Cricetulus griseus: one gene and its partner. Each later gene encodes a partner of the first gene's protein in a complex. Links are inferred from orthologs where the notes say so. Each region holds a gene or a part of one and is shown in the gene's direction. Other genes may lie near its edges.

Region 1 (16,419 bases):
TTCTGAAAACCCTGGAAATATAGTTTTTCAGATAGACGCTGTTGGGGAAGTATGTATGTGAGAAGCAGATTTCTACCTTGCCCCTCTTACAAAGGATTTGCAGTGGTGGTGGGGGTCAGATTTTATTTCTAGAAACCTTCCACCTACTGACCATATGGCTGTGTATTAAACCATGGGAGAAAATATGTGACTTGTACTCCTTGAGTCATGTCGTCTCCCTTCACAACTGTCTATAGGACCCCAAAGTTCTAATCAGAGTTCCAGATTATTCTTCCCATTACATATTTGTAACTGTTCATCTTTGATACTGCTTGGGATTTATTAACTAGCTATAAGTACCTACATTTTATGGTATGGAGTAGATAGAGATGGGAAATTGCCTCTACCCTGTTTACTTGGAAGAGATAGGTTTGGTTTGGCTTTTGTTTGTTTTTTCATTTAACTGATGGGTGGTTTGTTTGTTTTTTCTTCCATCAGGATACAATGTTTCTTTGCTATATGACCTTGAAAATCTGCCTGCATCCAAGGATTCTATTGTGCATCAGGCTGGCATGTTGAAGCGAAATTGCTTTGCCTCTGTCTTTGAGAAATACTTTCAGTTCCAAGAAGAGGGCAAGGAAGGAGAGAACAGAGCGGTCATCCATTACCGGGACGATGAGACCATGTAAGTGTGAACTTCAGCTCCAGCCTGGTGGTGGCCTCCATACAGCACTGACTGAGAGAGATACAGTATCAACCAAATGAAAAGAAACCCTGTGCTGTCCTTAAGGCACTACTCTTTTTTTTTTTTTTTTTTTTTTTAAGATTTTATTTATTATGTATACAACGTTCTTCTTCCATGTATATCTGCACACCAGGAGAGGGCACCAGATCTCATAAAAGATGGTTGTGAGCCACCATGTGGTTGCTGGGAATTGAACTCAGGACCTCTGGAAGAGTAGTTAGTGCTCTTAACCTCTGAGCCATCTCTCCAACCCTAGGCACTACTCTTATTATTTTATGTGTATTGGTATTTTATGGTTGTGAGCTGCTTTGTAGGATGGGAATTGAACCCATGTCCTCTGGAAGAGCAGCCAGTACCCTTAGCCAGTGAGCCATCTCTGCAGGTCCAAGGCATTACTTTTCTGAGTTTTCTTAAAGGAGTTTCCCATGGGCTAGGGAGAGACTCAGCCCTTCAGAGTACTGTCTGCTTTTCCAGAGGCTCTGAGTTCAGTTATCAACCCACATGGCAACTCATAGTCGTCTGTGACTCAAATCCAGGGCATCTGACTTTCTCTTTGGACACAAAGCACACACATGCACAGTTATACATACAGACAAAACACCTGTACATATAAAATTAAATAAACACATGAAAAAATTTAAAAATGGCCTAGATAGTCAGACACCAGAGACCAAGCATAGATGCTGTAACTGCAGCTCTTAAATGTGTACTATGTATGGATCCTATCATATGTAAAGAAACTTTTTTTAAATGACATTATTAAGAATTACTAATTTAAAATAATGTTATGCCTTATATACAAGATTTAAAAACCTAGTTTTGTTAATTCCACTTCCTTCTTGGGAATGCATTTACTACCCTGACTTTCTTGACTGCAAGTACTAGTCTCTGGCACACCTTTGTTTTATTGAGTTGGAGACTGCACTTTACCCTTCTTGCAGATAGTTAGTGACAGAATCTCCTGATGCTGTACTTACACGCCCGAGTTTGTTTCCCTCAGGTATGTTGAATCTAAAAAAGACAGAGTCACAGTAGTCTTCAGCACGGTGTTTAAGGATGACGACGATGTGGTCATCGGAAAGGTCTTCATGCAGGTATGGAGCACAAATCTTCAAGGGAAATGGTGTTGCAGGAAGTTAAATCTTTACACTCTGCATACCTAGCCAACATATGGGGTAGGGTTGTATAGATCAGTGGTTGAGCATTTGCCTAATATGTACATGGTTTGTGGTTCAATCCCCAGTACCTGGGAACATGGTAACAGAATAACATACATGTAGGCCATATCATAGGAAAGACAAAGTTCTGTTAATGTTGGAACTTGGAAGTTGTGATGAACAACCCTGTCTTAGTTTGTTTCTTTGTTGCTATGATAAAACACTGTGGCCAAAGGGTTTATTTTACCTTAGACTTCAAGGTCACAGTTCATCACTGAAGGAGTCCAGGAGCCCAAGAGCCTGAAAGCAGGAACTAAAGCAGAGACCATGGAGGGGTGCTGCTTACTGGCTTGTTCCCCATGGCTTGCCTGTCCTGCTTCCTTATACAGCCCAGGACCACCTGCCCAAGGGTGGCACAACATACAGTGAGCTGGCTCCTCACATTAATCATTAATCAGGAAAATGCCCCACAGACATGCCCACATGACAGTCTAATGGAGGCAGTTCCTCAGTTGAGGTTCCCTCTTCTCAGAAATGTCTAGGTCTGTGTTGAGTTGACAAAAGCTAACCAGCATGGCCCCCCACCAACTTATATGAATATACTATTTCTTCTTGATGGTTCTAGCCTTTTGCAGGACAAGGCAAGAGGGAGAGTTAATTTTGACTGAATATTAACTATCCTTCCTTCCTGTGACAGAGTCCTTGATCTAAAGTGTGGTCTCATTTCCTTATCTCATGTTTACTCAGTTTTTGTATCAAGGACTGTTCTTGGCTTGCATTAGGTCCCATGTCTTCAGAATGATGAATAATGAATTCCAAAGTAGGAGATAACATTCAGTAGGTGGAATTGTGGCTGACAGGAGAGCCCTGCCATAGTTTGAATGAGTCACCGTAGATTGCCTCCTGCTGGGAAGAGTAATGGGATTTAGAAGAACATTTTGTCATTGGGATTCTGGTGCAGTGGGACTCAGCATATTGTAGACCCCTTGTGACTGTGTCATTTTGCCTGCTGGCCAGTCACTGGCTCTCAGACATGAGAGCTTATTGATCAGGAGATACTCAGGCTGCTGCCTTCTGAAGTGGATAAGCATTCACACTGCAATATAAAGCTTTAATACATTTTCCTGTTCTCTGGCAGAATGATGGATTTTATTTTGTTTTGTTTTTAATTCTGAAGCAGACAGGCTTATTGCCCAGCGTCTAATCCAACCACTTAGAAGCCTGAGGCAAGAGGATTGCTGCAAGATGGCCTAGGCCTCAATTTTTTTTTCTTTCAGAGAAAAAAAAAAATTTTAAAGTACAATCTCTACCACCACCCCCCCCCTTCCAAAAGAGGCTTAAAAGAAGCTGTGGTTACCACAGTGAGGCTTTATGTATGGACCTTCTACCTAGCAAGGGAAAATGTCAAAATGCCATCCTCATTAATGCCTTTTTTTGGGACTGACTGATCAATAACTCTTGTTTGGGAGTCCCTTTGTGAAAAGTGGAATATTGACACTTTGGCATTTGATAGTACTGGACTTCATGAAGAAAAAGAGGGTATGCATATATGACTCTTAAAGGTAAGCCCCTAGACAGACATTCCATAATACTGTTTGCATAATTAATGGGAATTAAATGCAATAGTTAAGAAGTGGACTAAATCTAGGCTAGGCTAATTTAAGATGCTACCTTTATCATACACAGTTTATCCCCAGGATAAATTGTACTTTGTTGGAAGAAAGAAATAGTGCCATGGTAAAATCACAAGCTCGATGGCCTGATTTGAGTTCCATCCCAAGGTCCTACATGGTGGCAGGAAATAACTAACTTCCTAAAGTTGTCCTCTAATCCACATATATGTGCAGTAGACCAGATGCTCACACTCACAGAGTGAATGAAATGTAATAAATGTTTTTAAAAAAAGTAATAGTGTACTTGGTGTTCAGCCGACATCCTAACAATCAGGTTGGTTTTTATGTGACGGCTAGGCTAATAATGAAGACTGGGGCTGTTTGGTGGGGCTGATTGCTGTTGTTATTTCAAGAGAGAGCAAGGGAGAAGCAAAGACATCAAGTTGTCTAAAGGCAATTTCCCACTGCAGAAATAGTGTTGATTAAATCTCTTGAGGAATGGGGAGAAGGAGGAAGAGAACTCATCTTATGTAGCCAAGGATGACTTTGAATTCTTCGTTTTTTGTTTGTTTTTTGTTGGTTTTGTTGTTCATGGATGTTTTTTGAGACAGGGTCTTACTATGTAGCCCTGGCTATCCTGGAACTCTATATGTAGACCAGGCTGGTCTCAAACTCAGAGAATCTGCCCTCCTCTGCCTAGATGCTGGGATTAAAGGCCTACACCACCACGCCAGGCTGATCTTAAATTCTTGATCTCATTACAGTGGTTCTGCATGAGCAGGGCCAAGGGTGTTTTCTTTTACTCAGCAGGACTATTCTGTCTTTGAAGGACAGAGGAGAAAAGGGAATAAAAGCAGGAGCTTTGACCTAAGGAACTCAGCCTGGCAGGGAAGACAGACACCCTAATGGATAATGAAGAAATGCTTGCAAAGAAGGGATAGTAGCTACCAGAGCAGCCACTTGCCCCAGGTGTTAGATGCTAACTCTAGAAGAGGTGTGAGCAGCAACAGCAGCCACCCTTCTGATCATATGGCTGTGTGACCACCGTCCTTAGCTTCATGCAGCTGCCCTTTTTCAGAAAACCCACTCAGTCTACCCATTGGATTTGAGTCTTTTTTTATTTATTTTTTTTTAAGGGGGGCGGGTTTCTAGGGAGTAAATTCAAGGCCTTGCATCTGTTGCTGTCATTGCTGGGACTCCAGGAGAAGGATGTCATATTTACTCATTTCTTTGTATAGGAATGCATGGGTGCCTGGGGATTAAGCATAGGAGGAATAGTCTGGTTTTGTTGTTGTTTTGCTTTGTTTTTTTCTCCTCTAGACCTTTTTTATAGTTTGATAAGCACTGTGTTTTTGCTAAGGATCATGAGCGCTTTTATTTTGGGCGAGGGGGTGTTTGGTTTGGTTTTGTGAGACAGACTCTCCTGTAGACTGGGGCTAGCCTTGAACTGCTCAGGATGACCTGAACTCTTGATTTTTTTTTTTTTTTTTACCCCCACCTTCCAAAATCTAAGATTATGAGCATGTGCCACTATTCCTGGCTTACTAGAATTTGTTAGGGTTTGTTTTTACAGGGGGAGGGGTTAGGAGAAGGTCTTTCTACATAACCCATGCTAGCCTAACTTGATTTTTCTGCCCTACCCTCCTAAGATAACTCAGTTTCTTTCATTCTATCATCTTTAGCCACCAGGGAGGGGTTAAATTTGCTTTAGAGTTTTGATTGATGAATTCTAAATAGTAATAGATGAAGAGTATGTTAAACAGTGTCATCAAAGGCCCAACACCCAGTAAAAGCATGGCATTCATGAAACTGGAAATAGAAGATGAGGTGTGGGTGTACTGACGTTGTAGAGGCCCGATGATCGGGAGTTAAAAGTCCTCATTAGCTGGAGAAATGGCTCGGCCGTTAAAGGCTACACTCACAACCAAAAGTTCTTCTCATCTATTTAGTAAGTTTAAAACCAGCCTAGCCACATGAAGCCCTGTCTCAGGGTGGGGGTGTGGGGGCAAGGGGACATGGGTAGAAGGAAAGCAAGAAACTGCAAAGAAGTGGGACCAAGGGAGCAGTGGGAAATTGTTCACATAATTTATTTAAAACTCTAGCTAAAGGCTGGTACTAGTCACCATGAAACTCTAACGATTTCCTTAAAAAAGAACTCCTTTTCACAGTATACACAAGGGAGTAGTAAGCAGCAGTGCTTATCTTAAGTTTTGTTTTCTGAGGCAGTCTTCCCACTCTGCCTTGACTGACATCCTTTTGCCATGTTAGTCCAAAATAAGAGAAAGGGGAAAGGGCTTGTCCTGCAGTGCTTTGTGTCACAGTCTGAGGATGGAGATTGTTCAGTGCTCTATCATCTCCCTTTTGAATCTAGAGTGCAGTGGAAGCAGCTGGCACTCTGTAGCTTAGGTGGGTTTTGGGGGTTTGGTTTGGTTTTTCGAGACAGAGTTTTTCTGTTTAGCCCTGACTGTCATGGAACTCACTTTGTAGACCAGTGTGGCCTCAAACTTAAGAGATCTGCCTACTGCCTACTGAGTACTGGGATCAAAAGTGAGCACCACCACCACCAGGCATGTAGTTGAATTTGACTGTTCATTTTTAGTTACTTTCTGGTCCAAAGGACTACGAAGGTCAGAGCACATAGTATGGGTAAGGTGCCACTCGAATCATGAATTTTTCTCTTGCTGTATCTCCACAGGAATTCAAAGAAGGACGAAGAGCCAGCCACACAGCCCCCCAGGTCCTTTTTAGTCACAGGGAACCTCCTCTAGAGCTGAAAGACACAGATGCTGCCGTGGGTGACAACATTGGCTACATCACCTTTGGTGAGGCTGGAGAGGTAGTTCAGTGATAGAGTGCTTGCCTAGACACACATGGCCCTGAGTTCAGTCCTCAGCACTACACGGAGCATCCCAGGCCCTTCCATCAGCAAGTGGAGTTGCCTCTTTCACATGACAGAATGCTTAAATCTGGACAGCCTTCGCCAACTTTTTTAGAGGGCAGAAGTAGGCATACCAACATGTTTGTGTTGCCTTTTCAAAGCTGTGATAGGAATGTCACAGGGAACTGATTACAAAGCAAGCTGGGTGCTATTTAGCTGCAATAATCATTTTCTGTTGCTTTTGGTTTTTCTTAAATGGTAAGAAAGGTAAGCTCTGGTTCCAGGATGGCCATGTCAGCATTGCTTGGCCGCTGAATAGAGTTCTCTGTCATGTTACAATGCTTGCTTCCAATGCCTGCTCTCAGCCATGATTTGCTGAGTCTTCTCTTCCACTGAAGATACCAAGCTTCACTTGTGTCAGCTTTATGAGCTGCCTGATGATGGCAGCTGACGGCTCATTTCCATGCTGCAAAGCTACAAGAACATCTCCTGCAATTCTCCTTTAAGCTAAAGGTGTAGGTGTTTGTTGCTGGTGAATACATTTTCCTTCCACATGATTCTTGAAGTTGAGGTGTATCTTACAGTTGATGGCATGTCAATTTCATTGAGAGCATTTCTTTATGTGCATAAATCATGGTAAACTTGGAATAGAACACATTTCATGGCCTGATGTTCTTCATCCCCCCTGTCGCCCTTTAAGCCAGGATAAACTGAGAACCATTTTAGCCATTTCAGCACAGGGCTCTTGGTGTTAGTGAAACAAGTATGGTAAGAACTGGAGACCAAAGGCAGGTCTGCTGCAGTACAACAGTCTGAGCCTCTGGGTTGAAAGTAGCCACCCTGTTGAGCCTACCTTATGTTTGGTTTTCATGCACAGGAGATAAGTATTCTTTGGAACCTAGTTTTACATGACAGCCTATGCTTTAGCACCAAGGACCCAAAACTAGCAGCTTTGTCCTAAACAAAGCTGGAATCTAGAGTTCAGTATAGAATCAAGATTTGGAATGAGTGCCCAGAGTCAGACCTGTGTTTTGTGCCTGGAGCTTCACTGTGGCACTCCCATGATTGTGTTGTCTATGATGGTAGTGCACACACCACTGCTAATGCTTTGTTTGTTTCTCCTGCCTTAGTGCTCTTCCCTCGCCATACCAATGCCACTGCTCGAGACAACACCATCAACCTGATCCACACGTTCCGGGACTATCTGCACTACCACATTAAGTGCTCTAAGGTGAGGGGCACCAGCATCTCTACCAGCCTGTTGATTAACTCTCAGTAGACACTTGGCACATGGGGCTGGGAAGAAGGGGGGGGAGAGGAGAGAGCTCAGCCATTAAGAGTACTTACTGTGCTGGAGGTGGTGGCACAAACCTTTAATCCTAGTCCTTGGGAGGCAGAGTCAGGTGGATCTCTGTGAGTTCAAGGCCAGTCTGGTCTACAGAGCTAGGTCCAGGACAGGCTCAAAAGCTACAGAGAGAAACTCTATCTAAAAAAAAAAAAAAAATGTTCTAGAAGCCTGAAGAAATCATTTCTTGGTATCTCTTGGTGTGGCCGGTCGTAGAACACTTGCCTAGCATGTTCCTCATACCAGTTTGGCCCCACAGTAGGAGAGAGAAATGACCCTCTCCCCTTCCCCTCTTCCTGCCTGTAGTAGAGGGGTGAGTCTGTATCTCCGGTATTGCTGCCTGACGGTCCCACCCTCCCTTACATGCTCCTTAACATACTCCATGGCTCCATCCCAATGAAAGCAAAGCTATTTCTCTAGAACATGGGCCTGTTTCAGTTCCTCCTGTGTTTGCTCTTAGGCCTATATTCATACACGAATGCGAGCAAAAACATCTGACTTCCTTAAGGTGCTCAACCGTGCACGCCCAGATGCCGAGAAAAAAGAAATGAAAACAATCACGTAAGTAGGAGGACTCCACCCCCACCCCCTTCCCACCTCAGTTCAGAAGAAGGAGCTGCTGGTCCTGATTTGATGCCTGCACACAGGCTACTAAAGAGGCCAACAGGGCCAAGCCTAAAGCTACCAGAGTGAAAGTGTAATGAAAAGGGCTTCCCTTCTGAGGGCATCAGGAAGAGTTTCTCCATTCCACAGTCTTTATGAGCTACAAGAATGACAGGGAAAGAAAAGGAAACCCCTCCTCCCCCTTTCCCTTAAACTAAGAATCTATTCTTTGTGGGCTTGAATTTAAAGAGGTCCCTTCTGTGTTCCTGGAGAGGTGGAGTCAGTCAATCACTTGAGGACATAGTTATCTGAAGAGGCCTGGAGGCAATACCTCTGTTCTTTCTGCTGCTCTGCTCTCGGCAGGAAAGGTGTACAGGGCACAGGCTGCCTGGGTCAGGAACAAAGATGACAAGCAGAGCAGTAAGCAATGTGACTCTGCTCAAGGGGCCAGCGTGGTGGGAGACCTAGAGCGTTCACTCTAGTGTGGGTGGCAGGCGTTCAGAGCACCTTCAGCTCCTGGCATGTGCTGCTGTATCAACTCCATTGACATTGAGCGTTCCACTGAGTCCTGAGAAGTAGGCAAGGACTTTTCAGTCACAGGAACATCAAGCATCTGTGTGCTTGGTGGGAAGTCTGACTGTCAATGCTGCCACCTACAGCCTAAAGGTTGGTATTCCATCTGACCTCTGTAGAGAGATTGAATTGGATGTCATGTCATGCTGTGGCAGCTGCATAGCATATCTAAAAAGTGCAAAGCTGTAGACGAGGTAGGAGAGTATGGTTATGTCCAGGGAGGCACTTGTTTTTTTTCTGTCCTTTTAAGACCCTGTATCCTAGTGCCTGCAGTTTCTCCTTTCCCACCTTGTCTTTACAAAAGTGCCCCTTGTGTGACCTGGGATAGAAAGAGAAACTTGCTCTGGATGTCAGAACCACCAGCCTGTGGCATGAATCTGTGGTCCTAGCTACTGAGGCTGTTGGGGACTGAAGCAAAAAGATAGGTTGAGCCCAGGAGTTTGAGGCCGACCTGGGTAACGTTAGCAAAATCTTACCTCCAAAAACAAGCAGGTGGGCTGGGAGATGGCTTAGTTGGTGAAGCACCCACTGTGCTAACTTAAGAACTTGAGCTGGGATCCCCATCACCCATGTTAACTAGGCATGGTGATACATTCCTGTAACCTTAGTACAGAGGGCTCAGAGACAGGTGAATTGTAGGAGCTCTCTAGCCAGCCAGTCTCAGCAGTCACTGAGTTCCAGGTTCAGTGAGAAACCTGTTTCAAAAAATAAGATGAAGAGTCAGGCACGGTGGCACACATCTTTAATCCCAGGATTCACTTGGAAGGCAGAGGTATGATCTCAGTGATCTCAAGGCCAGCCCGGTTTAAATAGCAAGGTCCAGGCCATCCAGAGCTATGGAGTGGGACCTTGTCTCCATAAAAAAAAAGAAAGAAAACCAATTGACCCATTGAGGGAAAACACCCAGTGCTGACTTCTGGCCTTTACACAGACACACATACAAAGTAAGCAGAGAAAAATAAAACCAGACAGAAAGGTCAAAAAGTGGGATATTAAAATAGTCCTGGAACTGTTTGCATCACCTGTCTTCACCCTGGTAACAGTCCCTTCATCAGTCTGTTCTGTGGCCAGCACGTGTTCCTGGTGGTTACTGCCAAATTGGACAAAGACAGGAATTGATCAGTGCCCTGATGGGGGACCTGAGGAAAGATGAGTCCTTCACAGGAGTAAATTTAGTTGTTCAAAAGACTCTATCCTGCTAAATGTGGACAGATTAAAATAATTTGGGCCTGCTATTGCTATAGGTATGGTCCTGAACTAGAGCTGCCTGTAGAGTCAGCATTCTGCAGTACTCTGCTTGTCTCAGGATAAGCAGGAAACATGGAGAGCGGTTTTTACTCTTCTATAGTCCTCAGTTCTCATTCTGGGCTACTTTACCAAATACCCTTGGGTAGGAACCACTTGCAGGTTCTTTGGGGGTCTAGTAACCCCTATGGGGATTTACTGTGCAGAAGAGGACACCACAGCTCAAAAACCCAGAACCAGCCAAGTGTTCTATGAGCCAGAGTCTACTTACAACATGACAGCAGAAATGTCTTTAGCTTTTCAAAGATAAAGTGTGTACCACACCTGGCTAATGTTTTTAAGATGCCTTTGAATTTCCTACCTCCTCTTGAAAGGTTAAGGGATTGTTATCTAAATGGGATCAGCTGGGTAGAAGGAGCCTCGGTGAGCAGAAATTCAGGTTTATCTAAGCTGTCTGAAAACTAGAGAAAGTGGGCATGGTGGCACATGCTTTTACCTGGCACTCAGGAGGCAGAGGCAGGTCTAGTGTACATAGCTAGTTCCAGGCCATCTGAGGAACACACTGAGACATCATCTTTTAAAAAAAATTGCAGACAATTTTCCCATCTGCTGGGAACATCCAGTGTCCTGAAGGGCTGGGCATAGTGCTACTTAGTATTGAGTCAGAAGAAAGGTAGCAAAGCTATTCTTTTACAGCTGGATTTGACTGACACCTGTGGCTCCAGCACCTTTGCTTGAAGACTCTCCCTTCCCTCGTTGTCTAGTGTCCCTTGGGCATTCCACCCCAGGTCAAATGTAGGATAGAAGGAGAGGCTATCTGGGACAAGCCTTCACACTGTCTCTGTTTTCAAAGGGGGAAGACATTTTCATCCCGCTAACGCTTGGGAACTGAGGAGGAAGCGCTGTTGATGGAAGGCTGGACCGCTTGCTACTGGATAATCGTAGCCCTTCATGTTGCACCTCTCCAGGTTCTTAAGGGATTCTCCGTTTGGGTTCCATTTTGTACGAGTTTGGCAAATAACCTGCAGAAACGAGCTGTGCTTGCAAGGACTTCATAGTTCCCAAGAATTTAAAAAAAGAAAAAAAATTCCACTCGATCAACTTAATTCCCTTCTTTTATTTTTCCCCCTCCCTCACTTCCCTTCCTTTTCACCCTTTTCCAAGCTGTTTGCTTTGCAATATGTTACTGGTAATGAGTTGCAGATAATGCAGTCTTAACTTGTTTTCTTCTAAGTATTTGAGTTCAAAACTCCTGTATCTAAAGAAATACGGTTGGGGTCATTAATAAAGAAAATCTTTCTATCTTACTAGAGCATTTGCTGGGTTTTTTGGACTGTGAGTCCAAAAGAGAAAAGGGTGGACCTGCACTGCCCTTGAACCAGCAACCAGCAAGCCCTCAGAGTTTGGAGCCTCTCTTCTCTATGGGAAGGAAGGGCTGGTTTGTAAATTGTAAGTGGGGTGGTGGGAGCTCGTTTGTTTGTGTTTCATTTTATTGGTTTCACTTTATAGCCATGTTGGCTTCAAACTCTCCAGCAATCTTCATGCTGAGCCTTCTGAGTTCTGGAATTTTAGGAATAAGCCACCTTTGTTTTGTTGTTTGTTTGAACATGCTTCTCACATTGTAAAGCGTGGTTGTTGACACTACCCAGCTGAGTAGCCAGGAAGCTCCCTTAGAGTGACAGGCAAATTAAAAGGTTTTCTGGGGCTAGGAATGTACTTCAGTTGATAGAATGCTTGCCTAACCTTTCACGAACCCCTTGGTTCAATCACCAGCCCCACATAAACTAGGCTTGGATATTTTTATGTGCATAAATGTTTTGCATGTACACACACATATGTGTATGCACCAGGTAAGGAAATGGGTATTGTATCCTTTGGAGTTACAGGTGGGTTTGAACTGCTCTCTGGGTCCAACCTCTACAGAAGCAACAAGTGCCAACCACTAAGCCACCCCTCCATCTGCTATGGCATACACCTTTTAATCTTAGCACTTGGAGGATGAAGGCAGGAGGACCAGAAGTTAAAGGTCATTCTCAGGTATACAAGCATTAAGACCAATCTGGGCCATGTGGGACATCCTCTCAGAAAAAGAAAGGGATGGATGGATGGAAGGAGGGAAGGAAGGAAGGCTTTCTGTCTAGGCTGTGTGTGTATGAGAGATTTGGGATTTATGTGGGGGTTGGTTGGTTTTGAAATAGGATCTCACTGTGTAGTCCAGCTGCCCTCACTGAGAGATCCACTGCCTCTGCTTCTGAGTGAGCGCTGGAATTCAAACTGCTTGTTCTTCAATCGTAATTAATGGGCATTTCCTGTAATGGGGTTCTCAGGTCCTTGATGGGTATTCCAGTGTGGAACTAATGTATACTGGCTGTGAGGCCACACTCCCTCACCTTCCAGCGGATTGGAAGTACTATACAAAGCTCACAGGAGGTGCCTGCGGAATAGATAGATACCTGGGAACCTAGCAAAGTGTGCTGTCCCCTAGCAAGATATTGGTGCCAAAAATAAAATTTGTTTTGTAAGGTCTTGTCCTGAGAATTTGAGGGTATTCAGAATGATTTGAAGGCTGTTTTTTGTTTTGTTTTTTTTTTTCTTTTTTTGTCTCCATTTCAGGCATTGTGTTTCAAACTAGTTTGACAGTCATAGTGAATTGTGTTGCCACCTGACTGTATGTGACAGCACTTTTATTTTCTACAAATTTGTTTTTCAGATAATGATACATTTGTTTGCATGCATGTTAGAGATAATAAAGCAAGGTCCTGTCACCTTCTCAGTGGTGACAACTTGAGTGATTGTAGCCCAGTATCACACCAGTAAAATGACATATTTTATGTGTCCACTTTCTTCACATTTAATCAATTTTATTTAACACTTGTTTGTGCCTTTGTCGTGTGTTTCTGTGTATTTTTCTCACTAGGATTTTTTCTGAACACCAGCATTTGTTTTTAAAAGCAGAGTACTGCAATCAGAGCAGTCACTGTATCACACATAGTATCAATTGGGGATTTTTTTTTCATAAGTGTGCACCAGACCAGGGTTAGAGAACTATTTATTCCATCCATTGTCAAATTTAAAATACTGCAAGTTGTTCCAATATTAGACTAACCTAATTGAAATGGGGTTCCAGGGACCCGTAGGTTCTCCTGGTCTCCTTCTGGGAGGTTAGAAAAGGGGGAGGGGGGGAGTGTATCTTGAGAGGTATTTTATTTAAGAGAATTTCAGAGGTAGTTTTGGTAGGGTTTTTGTCCTTTCTGTTTTTGAGACAGGATCCAGTTATCTAACCCAGGCTGGCCTCTGCCTCCAAAGTGCTGGGAATACAGGTATGCACCACCATGACCAACTACTTTAATTTTCATTCCATTTTTTTTGTTTTGTTTTGGTTTGGTTTAGTTTTTGACAAAGCATCACTCTGCCCAGGCTGGTCTCAAACTTCTAGCAGTCTTCCTGCATGTGCCTTCAAGTTCTGGGATGACAGTTTTGCGCTACCCAACTCCGGCTAACATTTGCCTTTTTGCTGATTTTAGAACAAGAACTCTGGATCTCTCTATGCATTCTTGGCAGTAGTGACAGCTTGCTTTTTTTCTTAATTATTTTTTATTAGTTCAAATTAGAAACAAGCCTACTTCACATGTCAATTCCTGCTCCCTCCCTCCTCCCCCACACCCCCCACCAACATGCCACCCCATCCCCCCTCTGCTCCCCAGGGAGGGTAATGCCCTCCATGGGAGATTTCCAGAGTCTGTCATATCTTCCTGGGCAGGGCCTAGGCCCTCCCCCATGTGTCCACGCTGAGAGAGCATCCCTCCACATGGGACGGACTTCAAAGTCCTTTCTTACACCAGAGATAAATACTGATCTACTACCAGAGGCCCCATAGAGTTCCAAGGCCTCCTCACTGACATCAGTCAGGGGTCTGGATCAGTCCCATTCTGGCCTCCCAGACATCAGTCTGGGGTCCATGTGCTCTCCTTTGTTCAGGTCAGCTGTTTCTGTGGGTTTCACCAGCCCAGTCTTTTTTGGTTTTTTGAGACTGGGTTTCTCTGTGGCTTTGGAGCCTATCCTGGAACTAGCTCTTGAACTAGCTCTTGTAGACCAGGCTGGTCTCGAACTCACAGAGATCTGCCTGCCTCTGCCTCCCGAGTGCTGGGACTAAAGGCGTGTGCCACCACCACCCGGCACACCAGCCCAGTCTTGACTTCTTTGCTCTTCACTCCTCCCTCTCTGCAACTGGGTTCCAGAGTTCAGTTCAGTGTTTAGCTGTGGATGTCTGCCTCTGCTTCCATCAGCCACTGGATGAGGGCTCTAGGATGGCATATACGGTAGTCATCAATCTCATCATAGGAGAAGGGCATTTAGGGTAGCCTCTCCACTATTGTTTAGATTGCCAGTTGGTGTCATCCTTGGAAATCTCCCTAGTGCCAGATCTCTCCTCGAACCTGTAATGGCTCCCTCTATTATGGTATCTCTCACCCTGCTCTCCTATATTCTTCCCCCAGCTCAACCTTCCTGTTCCCCCATTTCCTCCTCTCCTCTCCCCTCCTGTTCTTCTCTCTTTCTCCCAGGTCCCTCTCCCCTACCCCCATGCTCCCAATGAAGATTATTTTCACACACACACATACCCCACTACTCCTTGGTATACCTTCCTTTCCCCCTAAACCCTATTTTTTCCTACTTAGTCTCCTAGTGGCTAGACTATTAAAACAGTACCCTCTCCCAGCAACTACTAGCAGTCATTATCAGTTCCTTAAGGAAGGATGAGGGTCCACGGGAAGTTGGAGAGAGGTCTTATGCAGGTATCCAAAGCCGCTGAGTCTGTGGTTCTAATAGCAGTGTCAGACCTGGGTGGCAGTGTTTCATGATACTCTTTCCCCATCTTCTTTTTTTTGTTTGTTTTGTTTGTTTGTTTGTTTTGAAGACAGGGTTTCTCTGTATTGCTATGGAGCCTGTCCTGGAACTCGCTCTCAGGGTGGCTTTGAACTCACAGAGATCTGCCTCCCGAGTGCTGGGATTAAAGGCATGTGACACCAACGTCTGGCTCCAGGTCTTGAATTCTTTTTGCCTTCACTTCTGTCTTAGGGTTTCTTTGCTTTGAAGAGACACCATGATCACAGCAAGTCTTTAAAGGAAAACATTTAATTGGGGCTGGCTTACAGTTCAGAGTTTTAATCCATTATTGTCATGGCAGAAAGCTTGGTGCTGGAGAGGTAGCTGAGAGTTCTCTATCTGGATCCCCAGGCATCAGGAAGAGAGAGTGAGCCACTGGGCTTGGCCTGGTCTTCTACAACCTCAAAGCTGAACCCCATGACACACTTCCCCCAGTTAGGCCACACTTACTCCAGCCAGGCCACTTGTCCCAATACTTTCAAATAATACCACTCTCTGTGAGCCTGTGGGGGCCATTTTCATTCATACTACCTCATCTTTTATTATGTCTCCCAGGCCTTAGCCACAGAAAGGAGGCAGGGATTAGTGTACATGTCCAATTTAAGGCTGGGCATCCATCAGTCTCTTGACACAAGCCTCTCCATTAACCACCATCCTCTACAAAAATGAACTGCTTTGACCCCAGCTGAGCGCTTAACAGCCTGTGGGTAAAAATATTTAGAAAACAGTTCATTGGGAGAAAACAACTATGGTTGGTTCCCTGTATTACGCCATCAGGTTTATGTTGCCAGGTTAGTGCAGTCTAGCCAATCAAAGTAGCTGGTTACCCCCACAATGATCATGCACTGTTATACTGCTGGCCCATGTCTTGCCTTGTGGATTAGTACTGTGGCGCATATGGTCTTTAGCTGGGTAAGATCATTCTGGCTTAGTTCCTCCTCGATTTCTCTGTGTCCTTTAAACAAAGTGTATTAGTAGTGTCTTCAATATAGGGTCTAGACTTGAAAGAGAACTTAAAGATTAAAAGCCGTGTAGTAGTGACTCACACCTTTAATTGGAGCACTAAGGAGGCAGAGGCAGATGGATCTCTCTTGAGTTTGAGGCTAACCTAGTCTATAGAGCAAGTTTCAGGACAACCAAAAGTACACAGAAAAACCCTATTAAAAAAACAAAAAACAACAGCCAGGTGGTGCACACCTGCAGTCCCAGCACTCGAAAGCAGAAGCAGGAGGATCTCCGAGTCTGAGGCCAACCTGGTTTATAGAGCTAGTTCCAGGACAGCCAGGGTTGTTACACAGAGAAACCCTGTCTTGGAAAAAATAACAAACAAACCAAACGCATATGCTAGAGGACAGGATTTGAGTTCCTAGCACCCACACTAGACAGGCAGCTCACAA
Region 2 (16,245 bases), on another chromosome or scaffold:
AAGATTATTTCTAGGGGCTGGAGAGATGGCTCAGGGCTTCAGAGCACTAACTTCCAGAGGACTCAGGTTCAATTCCCAGCACCTACATGGCAGCTCACAACTGTCTGTAACTCCAGCTCCATATGATCTGACACCTTCACACCAATGCATGTCAAATAAATTTTAAAAAAAAATCTATTTCTAAAGCATTTTAGCTGCAATGCACCATTATGTAACATTCTATATATACCCAATCCCTTTTATTGTATATTAGATTGCCTAGTTTGTCCTGCTAAAATGAATAATCTTAGATAAATCTTAACTATTTCTGTCACTAAAATTCCCGGAAGATAAATGCTAGATCAAAAATAGCATTGTTTTTAAGGCTTTAATATACAAAGTACTGTGAAATCCCTAAGAGCTCTGTGGTTTCCTTCCCTGCGTCAGTCCTCTACCGATTCTTATAGAACTGCTTTGTTGTTTATTGTTTAAAATGCAGGCTCACCAAAGCCCTGTGGTCTGCAGGTCTACATCTCAGGACCTCAAGAACTCTAATTGTAGTATAGGTAAATGCATAGTGATTAGTGATTATCAAGGCAACAAAACTTTGTATGGGGGGAAGCTTTCTTTGCTTTTTAAAAATTGTTAGAACATCATTAAAATTCCCCCTTTACCCCTAATGTTTTTTCTTTTTTCTTTTTTTTTCTTTTTTTCAATGACAGCTTTGGGGGGGCGGCGTTTATAGCTTTAGATACAAAGGTATTTTTCTAAATAGAGAAATTGCAGTCTTTAAACTGAAGATGACATTGATAGTAGAAATGTTTTGTAAAATCCTGCCAGTAGCAATGATGAGGAGACCACTGTGTGCTGAACAGAAGGAAAAATGAATTGTAGAACGAGTTGATTAAGTGTTCTCTCTGCTTAGACGATGTGTAAAGAGATTCCTTTGCTTCTGGAACAGGCTTTACCAGAGGGAAAGTTTAGAGATGAGCATAGATAGAACTAATGTCCTTAGCTAGGAAACTTAAAAAAGTTTTGTATGGTTTTAAACAGGAGCTTTTAAGAAAATACCACTTTTGAAAGATAGTACCGAATAGAATTGTATAAATCGGTTTCCTTCTTTTGTTGGGCGTTTTTTAAGTTTTTAAATGATATACTAAATTGTTAAATTTTCCCATCAGTCTATTAGTAAATCCCCACTTCTACCTTCTGTACTATCAAGACTGTGTTCTAGCCCTTTAATCCTAGCACTCAGGAGGCATAGGCAGGCAGATCTCTGTGAGTTCAAGGCCAGCCTGGTCTACATAGTGAGTTCCAGGCTACACAGTGAGACCCTGTCTCAAAAACAAGTGAGCAGAATGGGTTCCCTTCTTTCCAGCTCTCCTGTCATGGCAGCCAGAACCACCGTGTGTTCTTGGAATTGCCCCTAATGGGCACCCTGCTTCTATCTTACTCCTGCTGTCATTGCTGTTCTCAGCAGAGATGCCAAAATAGTCTTAAAATGAGAATCAGATTGTGTCTCTGCTCTTAAAACTCTGTTGTTTTAGAGAGAAAGCCAGAGCCATTGCAGTGTGGCCTGCAGGCTTCCTCCCGTGCTCTGTCTTCATGTCCTGTTCTCTCACTTCCTTGCTGCTTCTCCCACCACTCAGCTCTGTCGTATCAGGTCTTTCGATCATTCTGAACACTCTTAAATCCATGCTAACAGCACTTGTTCTTATCTAAACACTGGCCATATTCCCAAAGAGTTTTCTTTCACATCCTCCAAATCACCCTTCAAATTTCACTCCAGTGTGGCCTTTCTAAAATTGTGTTCCTAGCATACATGTGTCTGAATGTTTTGTTATGTATTTACCCTCAGGACCGGGCAGGCAGCATTGTCTTGAAAGTGCTCATCTCTTTTAAAGCTAATGATATTGAAAAGGCTGTTCAGTCTCTGGATAAGAATGGTGTGGACCTCCTAATGAAGTATATTTATAAAGGCTTTGAGAGCCCCTCTGACAATAGCAGTGCAATGTTACTACAGTGGCATGAAAAGGTAAGTTACAAACTACAGGTCCTTATAGCTGGTTCCTTTGTAGTAGAGAATAAGACCTCTTATCACCTGGAAAACAACAAGACCTGATTCTATATCTTTATTAGTGCAAATAAAATGCATGAGAATGAAAAGTTCATATTTGCTTACCAGCCTTGGTCTTAAGTGATTCTGATTTGCATTGCATATTTATTTGCATATGTTTAGTACATAACTGATTATGTACTTGAGGTATGAATCCCAAGAAAAATTTCAAAAGAAAATCATGGAAATCAAGACTTCTTTTACACCAATTAAAAAAAACAACCTAAAATGAAAGGCTTAATGTATGGTACATACAAACGGTAGAAAGTTATTCATCCATGAAAAGGGATGGAGTTTTTATACTTGCTACAATATTGATGAACCTAGAAGATGTTGTACTAAATGAAACCAGACACAAAAGAATACTTGGTATTTCTCCTTATGTGAAATAATATGAAATAGGCAAGCTCAAAGGAGTGGAAAGTTACTAGACGTTGCCAACGACCATGGAGAAAGGTTAGAGAGCTTGCCTGACATTCCCAAGGTTTGATTCCCAACACTGTATTTTTGCTGTTTGGTTTTCAGGAATTGTTATTGGCCATGCATGGTAGTGCATGCCTATAATCCTGCACTCTGGAGAGAGACATTCCAGACCAAACTGGTCTATATAGTGAACATGCTATATTGAGAGTCTGTGTCTCGGAGAGGAAAGAAATTAGTGTTAGTTCTATGTAACAAGTCAATAGATAGATGAACCAGCTGACTCAGTGGGTAAAATTTCCTGCCACCAAGCCTGTCAACCTGAGTTCACTCCCTGGGACCCACGTGGTGGATAGAAGGAACGGCTACCTCCACACATACATTGTACGTACACGTATACACACACACACACATGCACACAAAGCAAGTGTAATTTTAGGTAATCTTTCATTCCTAGCTCTTATAATGATAAAAATATAAACAATGGCATTAAAAATCCAACAGATAAAGGGCTACATATTCTCTAACATTCTCAGAACTCCAGGGGATCCTCTCCTTCCACCTTGTTCGGGCAGGGTTCCTCTTTGTTTCTTCTACTGTGCTGTATGCTTCAAATGTAGCTGGCCTAGGAACTTCTGGCCACATCTCCCCATAGAGATGCTGGAATTCCAGATGCTAACTACAACTTTTTGTGGAGATCCAGCTCAGCATGCCAGGCTTGCATAGATGCACTTTGAACGTTGTGAGCCATCTCTTCAAGCCCCCCAAAGTCACTTTTTAAAACCATTCTCAAGTCTGAGTAAAAACACACATATAAGATAAAACTAAAGGCTTCAGTTGAGTCCCTTTACCTTACATACACTACAGAAGAGCTAATATTTATGAATGGCATTCCTCACAGTGTTCCAGTGTAGTGTCCGTCCTAATTACAGAGCACCCTTTCACTGAAGGGAACTCGTGCAGTAATTTGTATGATCATTTCACTTGGGACTCTTTGTTTGATCGATTCTGCACTTGTTTATATTTCATTTCTTTCTCAGTAGCTCTGAGGTATGCACATGTCTTTCTGTCTTCAGTTTGCAGCTGAAGAACCTACCTCTAAAGCCCAACCGACAGCAGTCCAGGATAGCCTCAGGGTCACAGTGACATTGATTGGGAATTTGTTACAGTCCAAACATTCTTCTGAGACATTTATAAATGTATTAACTCATGTAATCCTCAAAAAAAATGCTAGAAGGAAAAGCTCTTGTAGGTGAGAATGTGGTCCATGTGTTAAGTCTGTTTCTTCCCAGTCTCCTCTCGAGAGTTGACTTTCTCACAGGTCCAGGACCATCGATGGTACAGGTCTCTAATGCACCCTTCCCAGCATCTCAAGATAGCTGCTATAGCATCCTAACTGTCTTGCCACCAGTCTCACCTTGCACTAGTCTGTTCTCTACCCAGCCACTGGTACATTATCTGTAAAATCCAAAGGTATCCTCATCAGTCATTGATGCCTGTACCAGTTTCTCTTAGGCTTCAGCTTTTCCCTGAATACACCCTACCCCCCACCTCCACACTGTTTTCAGGTATCAATCTGTCAAGTTTCCCTAACATCTTTTGCTGTCAGGTTAGGTATATGCCCTTTCTCTGTTTTTGTAGCACCCTAAGATAACTCACACTACTTCATACATGATACCGAAATGTTGTTTGTATAACTGTCTCATAGTAGACCAAAGGATGTTTATTTACTTTCATATCCTCACAATACACAATGGTACTCAAAATATTTTTTCAATAAAAGTAAGCCAGAATTTCCAATTTGCTGATATTTAATCATGACTCAATTATGCAAGTTCATAAGTTCAAAGTTAGAGATCATCAGCTCTTAAGTAATACCTTCTTACCTTAGGAGGAAAATCTGCAAACTAAGAGGAAGTTGGGGTGACTTGTCCCAACTTAAGGTTCTTTCCTGACCATGATATGGGTGGGAGATGGAGAATGTCCTGAATTTATATTTGAACACCTGTTTTAGTCAGGAACATTGTGCTGCAGACATCTTTAAACATTATTTAGACACAGTGTGCTAGAATAGAGACCAGTGTATATTTGGAAGTAAGTTCACAGGGGGCAGGAACCCTTGGTCTTTGTTTTCTGTTATGCCCTAGTCCTAATAATAAGACCACTATTTGTCTCATGTTGAGCACTGCCTGGGACATAGTAGAAGCTTAGAATGATTTCAGTATTCTGCCTAATCTGAGACTTGACCCTTTATTACCCTGTCTGTGTGTTTGGTTTGTTTTAGGCACTTGCTGCTGGAGGGGTAGGGTCCATTGTTCGTGTGTTGACTGCAAGAAAAACTGTGTAGTCCAGCTGGAACTGGACATCACTCACAGAAGTGGGAGTTGCTGGTACAAAGACCAAAACAACCAAATGGCACCGCTGCCCTGTGGGTAGCATCTGTTTCTCTCAGCTTTGCCTTGCTTCCTTTTTCATACTTATAAAGAAGAAAATTACATATCAGTTTCCTTAATGAAAATTTCGATAATGTGGAGAAAATTTTGTTTCAAGGGGGGTGTTTGATCCTTTCATAACCATGTCAATAATATGTATACCATTCTGTAATTTATATTCAAGTTTGATTGTGCAATTTTTACTCTTTTGCTGGTTTAAGGGTTTTACTTTATTTTTAACCAATACTGAGAGATCTGATCAAATTTGAGGCCAGTTTCCTAACTCATTGCTAGTCAGGAAGTGATCTTTATTTTTAAAAATGAGAGACTGGCAGCTATTAACATTGCAAAACTGGACCACTCTTCCCTTATTTGAGCAAAATGTGTTTCCAGAGCAAGTAGTGGGTGAGCCCCACTACCGATTTCCAGCTTTATTTCTGCTTGCTTCCAGATAATGGTGTGAATGTAAGTGTGCTACTTCCTGTTAGCATCCAGTTATCATGGCCTCAATCTCTTTGTGGTGACCCAGGGTCCAGAGCAAGGAGTCTTGCTCTATATAAATGTATTTGCAAAATACAAGCGCCTCTTTGGCACAAACATCACATTTTCCTTCTGATAATAAGGCTGTCTGGGGAAAATACCCCAAGTCAGAGAAAGGACATTGAAACTGATGTAATTCAAACTCTAGCAGCCTCTAAATGAAATACTGCTTTCTTCCGAAATAAGGTAGCTGCCTTAGACATTTACGCAAGTATTCACTGTAATATTTCATATGCCCAATGACGTCTTCAGTGTTCTTCGGGTAATGGGGATCTCAGAAAATTTGGTTCTGATCCAAACAAATACATATTCTGTGTTTCAGCTCAGTGTTTTTTTAAGAAAGAAAATGTCACACAGTGAAAAAAAATAAAATGTGTTTACTTTGTTGGACAAACCAAATTGGTTCTCAAAAAAATGACCGGTGCTTGTAAAAAGTTATTATTATGAAGTAGTTCCAAAACAATCACGTGAATGAATGCACATGGCCAAGAGGGAATCAGCCTGGTTAGTCTGTGCATAAGATGCCAGTTCCAGAGTCACTGACTGAGGTGAGAACCAGTGCAGAAATTCTGTAAACTGCTGTTTTTGATACCTGCTTTTTGTTTTGTTCTGTTTTGTAAAATTATGATAAACTTCAGAAAATAAAATGTCAGTGTTGAATAATTTCTTTTTCTTGGTTGAATACTTGTAAATCTCCAGTTAGTTAAGGAGCAGGGTGTTTGGTGCTGCTGCCGTCTTAGGGGAGGATGTACAAAGTCACTTGATAGAAACAGGTGCAGAGGAGAGCCACTAATGATGTCAGAGCACTGCTGAGGCTGCTGTGTGACTGAGGTGCCAGCAGAACATGTCAGAGACCAAATGGACCAAATTCTTGGAGCTGCAAAAGTCACTCCAGCTTCTAAGCTCTCCCTTGTAGACCTCAGACCTACTTCTCACACCTGTCTTCTCAGCAGCTCTGCTCTCGGCCTCACCTGGCTAAATTCCTGCTTGACTCAAGCTAAGCAATGCGCATTGGAAGCCACCAAGCAGGCATAGCACAACCACTTAGGAGCATGCTCACACTGTTTCTGTGACCTAACTCCTGGTGTGTGTGTTGGGGGGGGGGGGGGGTTCTAATGCTGTAATCCGTGTTTTATATTCACTGGAATGGATATGGGAAAATCTGTCAGCCTGTCAGCTCTACCAAGTAGAAATAGTAAAAATGGGCAACAATACAGCATAGGATTGAATGAGGGGGTGCCAACTGAGGACAGTGGGCTCTACAAGTGTTTCTGTCTAGGTGACAGTAACTAGCGCACCACCCCTGGTGGATAGTAAAGTAGATAAATGCTGGCCAGTACTTTGCACACAAGTGGCTCTCAGTTGCCTGTGTGACAGCCAGTGTATGTGGAGGTCAGAGGACTGACAATTCTTCTTCACTCACTTTTCCACTTTATTTTTTGAGTCACTGAACTTGGAGCTTACCAGTGGCTTGACTGACTGGCCAACAAACCCCTGGGGATCTTCCTGTCGCCACCTCCAAAGTGCTGAGATTACAGACACCGCAGTGTCTGACTTTGTGCCAGCCCCTGAATAGGTATGCTGGTCACAGCAGCCCTTTACCCTCAACCATCTTCCCGCTCCACAGAAGCAGCTCTCTGCCTGTTGCTCATCTTTAATCACAGTGGTTAGGAGTGATTTGGTGCGACCCTGCTTTGTTTTTGAGAAATGGATCTTGATTTTTAGTTCAGACTGGCCTCAGACTCAGCAATCCTGCCTCAGCCTCCACCCGGGATGACAGGTGTGCCCATACCAGGCTTGCTGTCACCTTTTTTTCTTTTTCCAAAAGGGAACAGAGGCAGGGAGAAGTCTCAACAGTCGAGGCTGAGGCAAGCAGATCATGAGCCTGTCTGAGCTAGCTGGCAAGAGCCTGTCTTAGAAAACCAAGGGCTGGCCATGTAGCGTAGTGATGGAAGTTGGCATGTTCTGCATCTTAATCCCCACACACCAAAAGGGAGACGCAGCAAATACAAACACAATTTCTAGGTAGCAGCACCGTTTAGGAAATGGTGGTGGGTGAGCATGCTGAATACCTCAGGAAATGCATTGATGCACAGGTGAAAACTGCAAGTAATGCAGATTAATCACATCCAGATGTTTCAGACGAAGGCAGTTTGGGCGTTGTTGCTTTCTCCTGCATTGAGAAGTAAGTCTTGGGTACTTGAAAACTGATGTCCTGCCACTTAGCATGTGACTATGAATGCAGTTGTTGTTGGGTGAACAACAAAAACCAAGTGGGGGCTGGAGAGATGGCTCAGAGCTTAAGAGCACTGGCTGCTCTTCCAGAGGTCCTGAGTTCAATTCCCAGCAACCACGTGGTGGTTTACAACCATCTATAATGAGATCTGGTGCCCTCTTCTGGTGGGCAGGAATACATGCAGGCAAAAGGCTGTATACATAATCAATAAGTAAATAAATAATAATAAAAAAACAAGTGGACCAAAGGCCAATGAGTCAAATCAATCCAAACTAAGTTTTGCAAGGATGGGAAGGACAGGGGGTCCAGGTGACATGAACAGAAGAATGAAAATGTTTAAGAGAGTTAGTTCACTCTTGTAGTTTTAACATTTCAATAAAATAAAATTCTAGACCATGAAAGTCACTAAACAGATTGCACTTGCATAAGGAGTGTCTCGGGAAATTTGAAACAGGAAGGAATGACAGGAGGTGTTTTTTGGTGTGGTTTTAGCCAAATAGATATATGGTCATTTAGTCTTTTGCATTTTATAACAGTCAAAAAGAATGGAAAAATTAAATTTTATAAGAAAGGCATCTGAAGCCGGGCGTTGGTGCTGCACGCCTTTAATCCCAGCACTGGGGAGGCAGAGGCAGGTGGATCTCTGTGAGTTCGAGGCCAGCCTGGTCTCCAGAGCGAGTACCAGGATAAGCTCCAAAGCTACACAGAGAAACCCTGTCTCGAACCACCCCCCCCAAAAAAAAGCATCTTAAATTATCAATGAAGAGCTGTTCATTAAAAATTATTCTTGCATTGGTGGCACACACCTTTAATCAGGAGGCAGAGGCAGGCGGATCTCTGAGTTTAAGGGCAGCCTGGTCTACAGAGCAAGTTCTAGGATAGGCTCCAAAGCAATACAGAGAAACCCTGTCTCAAAAAAACAAAAAAATAAAAAATAAAATAAATTATTCTTGCTGTGATGGATAGGAAGCTCTGTGGCTGGGGCTTATTCCACAGTCCTGAGGCCTAGAATTGGGATTAAAGTGCTCAGGACCAAGCCAGAAGCCCTACAGAACACCTATAACTCCAGTTTAGGGAGTCAGTGGTCTGCATTCACAGGTATGTATACCCACACACGTGCACATGTAAACACGGATAAATAAAATTAGGGGGAGGTGGTTTTTACTCTTTTTATTCTTGATATTTCTGAATGGTCAATTCTGTCTCCTACTGTTGTGTTTGTGTGTTGTTACTGAGACATACGTGGTCCAGCAAACATCTATTGTTTCAAAGTTAACACTGGTTTTATATTAATATAATGCCAACTGTAAAATAAAGGAGGGCATTGAAGACATTCCTGGTTTGTGGTAGTGTGGCTTTAAATTTTCAAAGCCAGAATCTCAGTTACAGGAGGATTTAAAAGAAAAGCCTGGCCCATCCTGAGAAGCTGAAGACCTGAAGACGTGCCTCCAGACCTGAAGCTCAGAAAATATATCAATCTCTAACATGGGGCCACCTTACTACACCTGCAGCTGCAGTTGTCAAGCTGAGTAGTCTGTGTGGGGAAGAAAGCTGTTTCTAGGAGAGATGAAGACTGGGGTTTTCTCTAGAATCCCCAAATTGGTGCTTGGATACTTGTGAGATCATGCCAGGAGCCTTTTACAGACAAGATGGAGAAGCCAGAAGAAAGGTTTGGAAATGTCTTACAATGAGAGACCCGCTTAACACCAAGAGCTCAGTAGTTTTCTCTCAGTATGATTTTAATACCCCTAGGAAAAGAGCTGTGTAGATTTTTTTTTTTTTTAAGTAGCAAAAGAAAACCACATGGAGTGTAAATTCAGACACTTTTCCCTGGTGGAGTTACATTTACAGGCATCTGCCACTAACCCTCTTGATATTGCCTTTGTTCTGTTTGCATAGATGATGGATTTTAACTAATAAACTGCTATTTCAGTTTTGTTATGTTTTCATTTATCAAGAACCAGGGCAGCAATCTCATGTCATTAGCCAAACCCAAGATATTATTGGTCATAACCAGAATTTGGTTTATTTACACTTCTTACAGGCAAAATATTAAAAAAAAAAAAAAACACCAAAAGGATCAAGAATGGAGACATACTATGTTAAACCAATGCCTTTTAACATTTAGAAAGGTGTTCACTTCCTCAGCCTCTCTTCCCTTCTCCCTCCTCACCTCAGCCCTGCATCTCTGGGAGGAAGTAGGAAACCTCCAGGGCCATCAAGGGCCAGTGTGTGTGGCCTCAGGGCAGATGTGTTCAGCCAGTGTGCTCTGCCTGCGGGTGGTGCTGCTTCACACTGCTGACCCATTTACGGGCTTCCTTTCCTACTTTAGTATAATGAACACAAATGCTCTCTCTATGGACCTCGTACTTCTCGGGAACAGTTCCATAAGTTCTCATAGCATGAAGCAGACTGAGTAGTTCATGGCACACCTGATCCAGTCCATCCTTTTAAAAAGCTCCTGACCTTCCTGCTCTGTTTAGTTCCTGCCCTGTAGGTTACTGAACTTTGAACTTTCTACCGACCCCTGGGACTCCTCTGAAGTCACAGACGCTGTATCACCTTTCCTGGGTAGATTTCATTTTTTCTTCTAATGGTGCCAACACAGTGCCATAAACAGACAAAGATGCTAAACAATATGCTTCATTTAGTTTTATCCCAAAAGCCCAATCAAGATTCCAGATATAACTCTAATGAGTTTCTTTACCTGATGCCTGAGCTAAAGGTCAGTGTCTTTTTTAACAAATAGTTGTATAATCTCCCTTTTTACTCATTTGTTTTCTAATAGTTTTTTTTCCAGTAGAGGTAATTTTCCCACCTTCCCTAGCAGTCCTCTTGACGGAGAATATAATTCTTTAACAAGAGTGTAAGCACTCACAAGTAAATACCTATAAAGTCTTCCTTGTGCCTATATAGATAACTAGCATTTTATACATATCTAAGCTTGTTTTCATTAAATGTGTGATTAATTTTAAAGTTTGTATTTTTCTTGCCAGCAATTTCTTTTTCAAATTCAAAGATCCTAATATAATTAGTTTGCCTCCATATAGAAGCCCCATGTAAAAAACAGAAATGTGGGTTGGAGAGATGGTTCAGAGGTTAAGAGCATTGGCTGCTCTTCCAGAGGTCCTGAGTTCAATTCCCAGCAACCACATGGTGGCTCACAACCATCCGCTATGAGATCTGGTGCCCTCTTCTGGTGTGCAGATATACATACAAGCAGAATGTTGTATACATAATAAATAAATAAAATTTAAAAAAAATTTAAAAAAATCCAGAAATGTGACACATGTCTGTAATCCCAGCACTTGAGAGGTAGAGGCAGAAGCATCAGAAGTTCAAGGCCATTCTCTACACAGAAAGTGCAGAGACAGCTTAACCCTTATAAAACCTTTGTCTATTACTAAAAAAAAGTAAATGCAAGACATGAAATCCCACAGTCCACACAAGGAGTAGAGGACAGAGCTCACAAACAGAACACTCGCCTCCCATGAGGGAAGCTCCAGGTTCAGTCCTCAGTGGGTGACTAGTGAGAGAAGTCCTGGATAATGCCTTATAGATTTGGTTATTGCTTCTCTGTTTTTATTTTTTTCAGATTGGACCTGGAGCCTCACACATGCTCCATCACTGATCTACCCAGCTCTTGTTTGTATTTTGACACAGGGACTCACCAACTTGATTTAGAAATCCTATTGCCTCAGCCTTATGAATAGGGAGGATTGCAGCCTATGTCACCAAGCCCAGCAGTTTGGTTGCTTCTCTGAAGGCTTGAAGGGTTTTTGTTGTCTGTTTGTTGTTTGCTTCTCTCTCTCTCTCTCTCTCTCTCTCTCTCTCTCTCTCTCTCTCTCCCTCCCTCTCTCTCTCTCTCTCTCTGTCTCTTGTTGCTGTTTGCTTTTCTAAGGAACACAGCTAACCACAGCACCAGCTGCCACGTATTTTACAAAAAGAAAGCAGTTTCTCTAATGCTAATATACACCTGCCAGGGATTATAGAGAACTTAAGATATGCTCTTTGCCTTGCAGAGTCTAAAAAACACACACATAAGCAGCACCAAAATCATGTAGGAAATGAAGCAATGATAAAAGAACATAGAGTAACAGTTGGCAAAAATTATTTCTCCAACAGTGATTGTTAAGAAAAATCTGAATATATAACCATCCCACTGGGTCTTGAAGACAGAAAGTTTGCCAAAAAGAAAAAGAACAGAAAAAGAATACAAGGCAGAGGGAACATTGTGGTATCAGAAGTCATATAATTAGCCAGAATCCTGTTCATTAATTAACTGGCACTATGATGCAACTAAGTGTTTGGAGACAAGTTCCAAGTTTTCTTAGTTCTCCATTCAAAAGCAAGAGAGTCCCTTAACTTGGATATATTTTAAACCCATTGTTGACTCTAACCAGATGGAAAGCATCTGCCCTTGGGATGCCGCCATTTAGGAATGGCACATTACAGCTGTTGTTGGGACAGGAAATATATAGGCAAAGTTTCTTCCTGAGAGTGACTCAGGAGAGCTCAGGAGTACTCAGAGGGACTCTGCAGAAGGTGAGCATGGCAAACAGAGATGGCTTTGTGGGTCTCAGGGACAGATTGCAACACACATGCTACTTTTTTTTTTTTTTTTTACGATTTACTTCTATATTGTGTACAGTATTCTGCCTAATTTATACTATGCCTGCATGCCAGAAAAGGGCACCAGATCTCATTATAGATGATTGTAAACCACCATGTGGTTGCTGAGACTTGAAACCAGGACCTCTGGAAGAGCAGCCAGTGCTCTTCACCTCTGAGACATCTCACACACACGAGATTTAGAGGCCTAAAACAACATGTTTGTTTAGCTCCCAGGAGTCAGACATTAGCTGAGTCCTCTGGCCAACGGATGCTTGAGGCCACAACACAGAATGGATGTGGGAGCTACCTTTTCTCAAGCCCCAGGAACAGCAGTGTCCATAGGCTGCAGCACTGAGGACTTGTAATCCGTACCTTTTGACTGTGGCCCACAGGCTGTCCTCTGGGCCACACAGACCTCTCAACAGTGTAGCTCCCAATATGGCATAGAAAGTGTGGTCTCCTGTCAGCTAATCTTGGAAGTGGCATCCCTGCCCTTCTGCTGTGATCTCTCTCTTCGAAGCAAAGCACGTGTCCAGCCCATAGTCAAAAGGAAGGAAACATACAGTGTGAGTACTAGGAGCCAGGGGTTCCAGGGATCATTAACTGCCTGTCATCTCCATGCAACACCCTGTGTGTGGCAAGGAAGATGCCTCTACTTCTTAGAGACCTCCGTTTTCCATCCCATTCCATTTTACTGTTTCTCTACACTTTAGAACCAACGAAACCTGCTGCTAGCATAGCCTTGAGGTTTCTGGGGGTACAACTCAGTGACTATAAAATTTTTCTAGTTTTGAAACTACTGTATCATTATCCAATTCAAATAAAAATGTTAACGCTCTAATGAAAGGCCTGGCCTTCTGTCCGTGCCCAGATAACCAATGTTAACAGTATGGTAAAGGCATCTATCTCTCCCACTCCCACTGACTGTGTCTTTTTTTTTTTTTAATATTAGTGGCATATGTCAGTGTCTTAGGGTTTTTATTGATGGCAAGAGACACCATGACCATGGCAACTCTTTTTTTTGTTTGTTTGTTTTTTTTGGTTTTTTTTTTTTTTTTTTTTTTTTTTGGTTTTTCAAGACAGAGTTTCTCTGTAGCTTTGAAGCCTGTCTTGAAATTTACTCTGTAGACCAGGCTGATCTTGAACTCACAGAGATATGCCTGTCTCTGCCTCATTCATGCTGGAATTAAAGGTGTGCACCACCACCACCCAGCCCTTGACAACTCTTATAAAGAAAGCATTTAATTGGGGTGGTTACTTACAGCTTCAGAGGTTCAGTCCATTGTCATCACGGTGAGGAACATGGCAACATGCAGGCAGACGTGGACCTAGCTACATCTTGGCTTGCAGTCAACAGGAAGTTGACTGAGATACTGGGCAGTACCCTGAGCATAGGAAACCTCAAAGCCCGCCCCCACAGTGACACACTTCCTCCAATAAGTTCATAACCACTCCAACAAAGCCACACCTCCTAATAATGCCACTCCTCATGAGATTATGAAGACTAATTACATTCAAACTACCACAATTGGCTATACAATGTAGTACATTTTACTCTGACACTTTCATACGCATTTGTACCAAATTCTGTGTTTTTAGCTTCAAGGATCCTTTAGCCAGAGGATCCACCTTAGCCATGCCAGGCTCCTGAGTGAAAATAAACATGCTGTCCTAAGCCTCTAAGTCTCTGTATCTGTCCCTGTCCCTGTCTGTCTGTCTGTCTGTCTGTGTCTCTGTCTCCCTCAAGCGCGAGTGTGTGTGTGTGTGTGTGTGTGTGTGTGTGTGTGTGTGTGTGTGTGTGTATGTGTGTGTGTGTTAGTAGTTAGACAATAGATAATAAAATAATATAAGGAAAACAAATTGATCTCCTGTGCACTTGTATGTGCTGAACCCTGAGGCATGGTAACTTAATCATTAAAAACTAATGCTCTTTGTATGACAGGCTTCTCATGCCCTGAGGCTGAAGTTGGAATCTAAGCCTTCAGGGAAGGTAGAGAGGCCTCAGGTAGTGATGCTTTGCCTGGAGGAGCTTTTCTCCCCTCGCTCTTTTTGATACCTATGCTAGAGTCCTATTATTGTTTTTACAGAAGGTTATCTGAAGCCAGACTGGGTGACACATGTCTTTAATCCAGCACGCAGGAGGCTGAGGCATGGGGATCTCTGTGAGTTTGAGGCCAGCATGGTCAATATATCAAGTTCTAGGAGAGCCAGGGTTACATAAAATCAAACAAAAGGTTATCCAAAAACTCTTTAGGTTTTCACTTTAGTGCAGTAGCCTGGCCATCTCTGCTGATCAGCATCTGTCCATCTTTCCGTTTCTCTGCCATGTCCTACACCTCATTTGTCAGTGACCGTTTAGATTCCTTTCCAGTCTCACCTTTATGAGCATTACATCAGGGATGGACCTCTGCTGTGCTATGTGTGTCTTAGTATATGTAAATTATATTTCCAAAGTGAGGGCGGAGGGAGAAAGTGATGGTGGCAGGAAGATGGGAATATAGAGAAAAAGAAGGAGGGAAGGACAACAGGACGTAGGACCCTCACAGTTTATCCACCTTTCTTTGGGGCATTGAAGGAACAGAGACCTGCAGAGCTTCTGCCCTGATTCCAGCCTGTACCAAGTGAGCAACTGGTGTTGTCCCAGAGCTCAGCATGGCACACCCAATGCTAATAGCCAGGGGTACATTTGGTGGGGTATTAGAAAACAGGAAAACATCCAGATAACAATAAAATACAAGTGTTAAGCAGGGCATGATGTCACATGCTGGTAATCCCAGCATTTGAGAGGAGAGCCAGAAGTTCAAAGTCATTCTTAGCTGCTTAGCAAGTTCAAGGCAATCATGGGTTACATAAGATGCTGCTTTAATAAATGGATAAATATCCCAGCACTTAGAAGGCAGAGGCAGGAGGATCTCTGTGAGTTGGAGGCCAGTATGTTCTACATAGCAAGTTACAGGACAGCCAAGTATACACAGAGAGATCCTGTCTCAAAATAAATAAATAAATGAAATAAAACAATGAAAAGATTGACAACATGCGTGTGTGCCACGGGATCTCTCTCTCTCTCTCTCTCTCTCTCTCTCTCTCTCTCTCTCACACACACACACACACACACACACACACACACACACAGACTCATATGCACCTGAGTGGTATACGTGTGTGGAGAATGCTCACATGGGTATGCAAGTGCACACACTCCTGCCCATGTGCAAGAGGAAGACATTGGCTGCCTACTCTATCACTCAGCATCTTATCCCTTTGATGCTCCTGTCTCTGTCCTCACTCCCAAAACTGCGGCTAAAGAAGCATTCAACCACATTTGGCTTTTAATGTAGATTCTGGAGATTTGGAATAAGGTTCTCATTCTTACACAGCAAGCACCCTTCTCCACTGAGCCATCTCCCCAGCCCCAACATTACTTTTTAATGTGCATATGGAGGTCACTGAGATAATTCAGTAGGCAAAAGTACTTGCCACCAAGCCTGATGACCTGAGTTCCATCCCCAGGACCCACCTGTGTGATGGAAGGAGACAATCAAGTCCCATTAGTTGTATTCTGAGCTACACACACACACACACACACACACACACACACAAATAAATAAATGTGAATATGCTGTTTCTTCACAATCCTGTGGAGAAGTGGGAAGCTGTCATTAGTCCTAGAGAACTATCATGGCGGAACTAGAGGACAAAGACTCTAAATGTGAACTTTAAGTCCCAAAGCCTTGTATTAGTTACTTTTCTGTTGCTGTGGGGAAAAAAATGACATAACCAAAAGCAAAGGAAGTAATATTTTGGCTTATGTCTCTAAAGGGCTAACTATTCGTAATAGCAGAGAATGCATGGCTGTTAGGACATACACCTGGCTGACCCCGTGTGAGGACTCTGCGCATGCGTGAAAC

Evidence for each region.
Region 2: Arpc2 (region 1) and Arpc5 share a complex: the UniProt entries of both Homo sapiens proteins name them as parts of the arp2/3 complex. The link is inferred for Cricetulus griseus from reciprocal best matches to the Homo sapiens genes ARPC2 and ARPC5.

The regions. Positions count from the first base shown.
Region 1 is NC_048595.1:427,495,035-427,511,453, forward strand, and holds the end of Arpc2 (actin-related protein 2/3 complex subunit 2), read left to right. Parts: intron 1-477; coding exon 478-664; intron 665-1,724; coding exon 1,725-1,818; intron 1,819-6,189; coding exon 6,190-6,316; intron 6,317-7,502; coding exon 7,503-7,603; intron 7,604-8,177; coding exon 8,178-8,278; intron 8,279-10,991; coding exon 10,992-11,016; 3' UTR 11,017-11,445; downstream 11,446-16,419. UniProt on the Homo sapiens protein: Actin-binding component of the Arp2/3 complex, a multiprotein complex that mediates actin polymerization upon stimulation by nucleation-promoting factor (NPF).
Region 2 is NC_048598.1:38,854,124-38,870,368, reverse strand, and holds the end of Arpc5 (actin-related protein 2/3 complex subunit 5), read left to right. Parts: intron 1-1,837; coding exon 1,838-2,014; intron 2,015-4,799; coding exon 4,800-4,862; 3' UTR 4,863-6,152; downstream 6,153-16,245. UniProt on the Homo sapiens protein: Component of the Arp2/3 complex, a multiprotein complex that mediates actin polymerization upon stimulation by nucleation-promoting factor (NPF).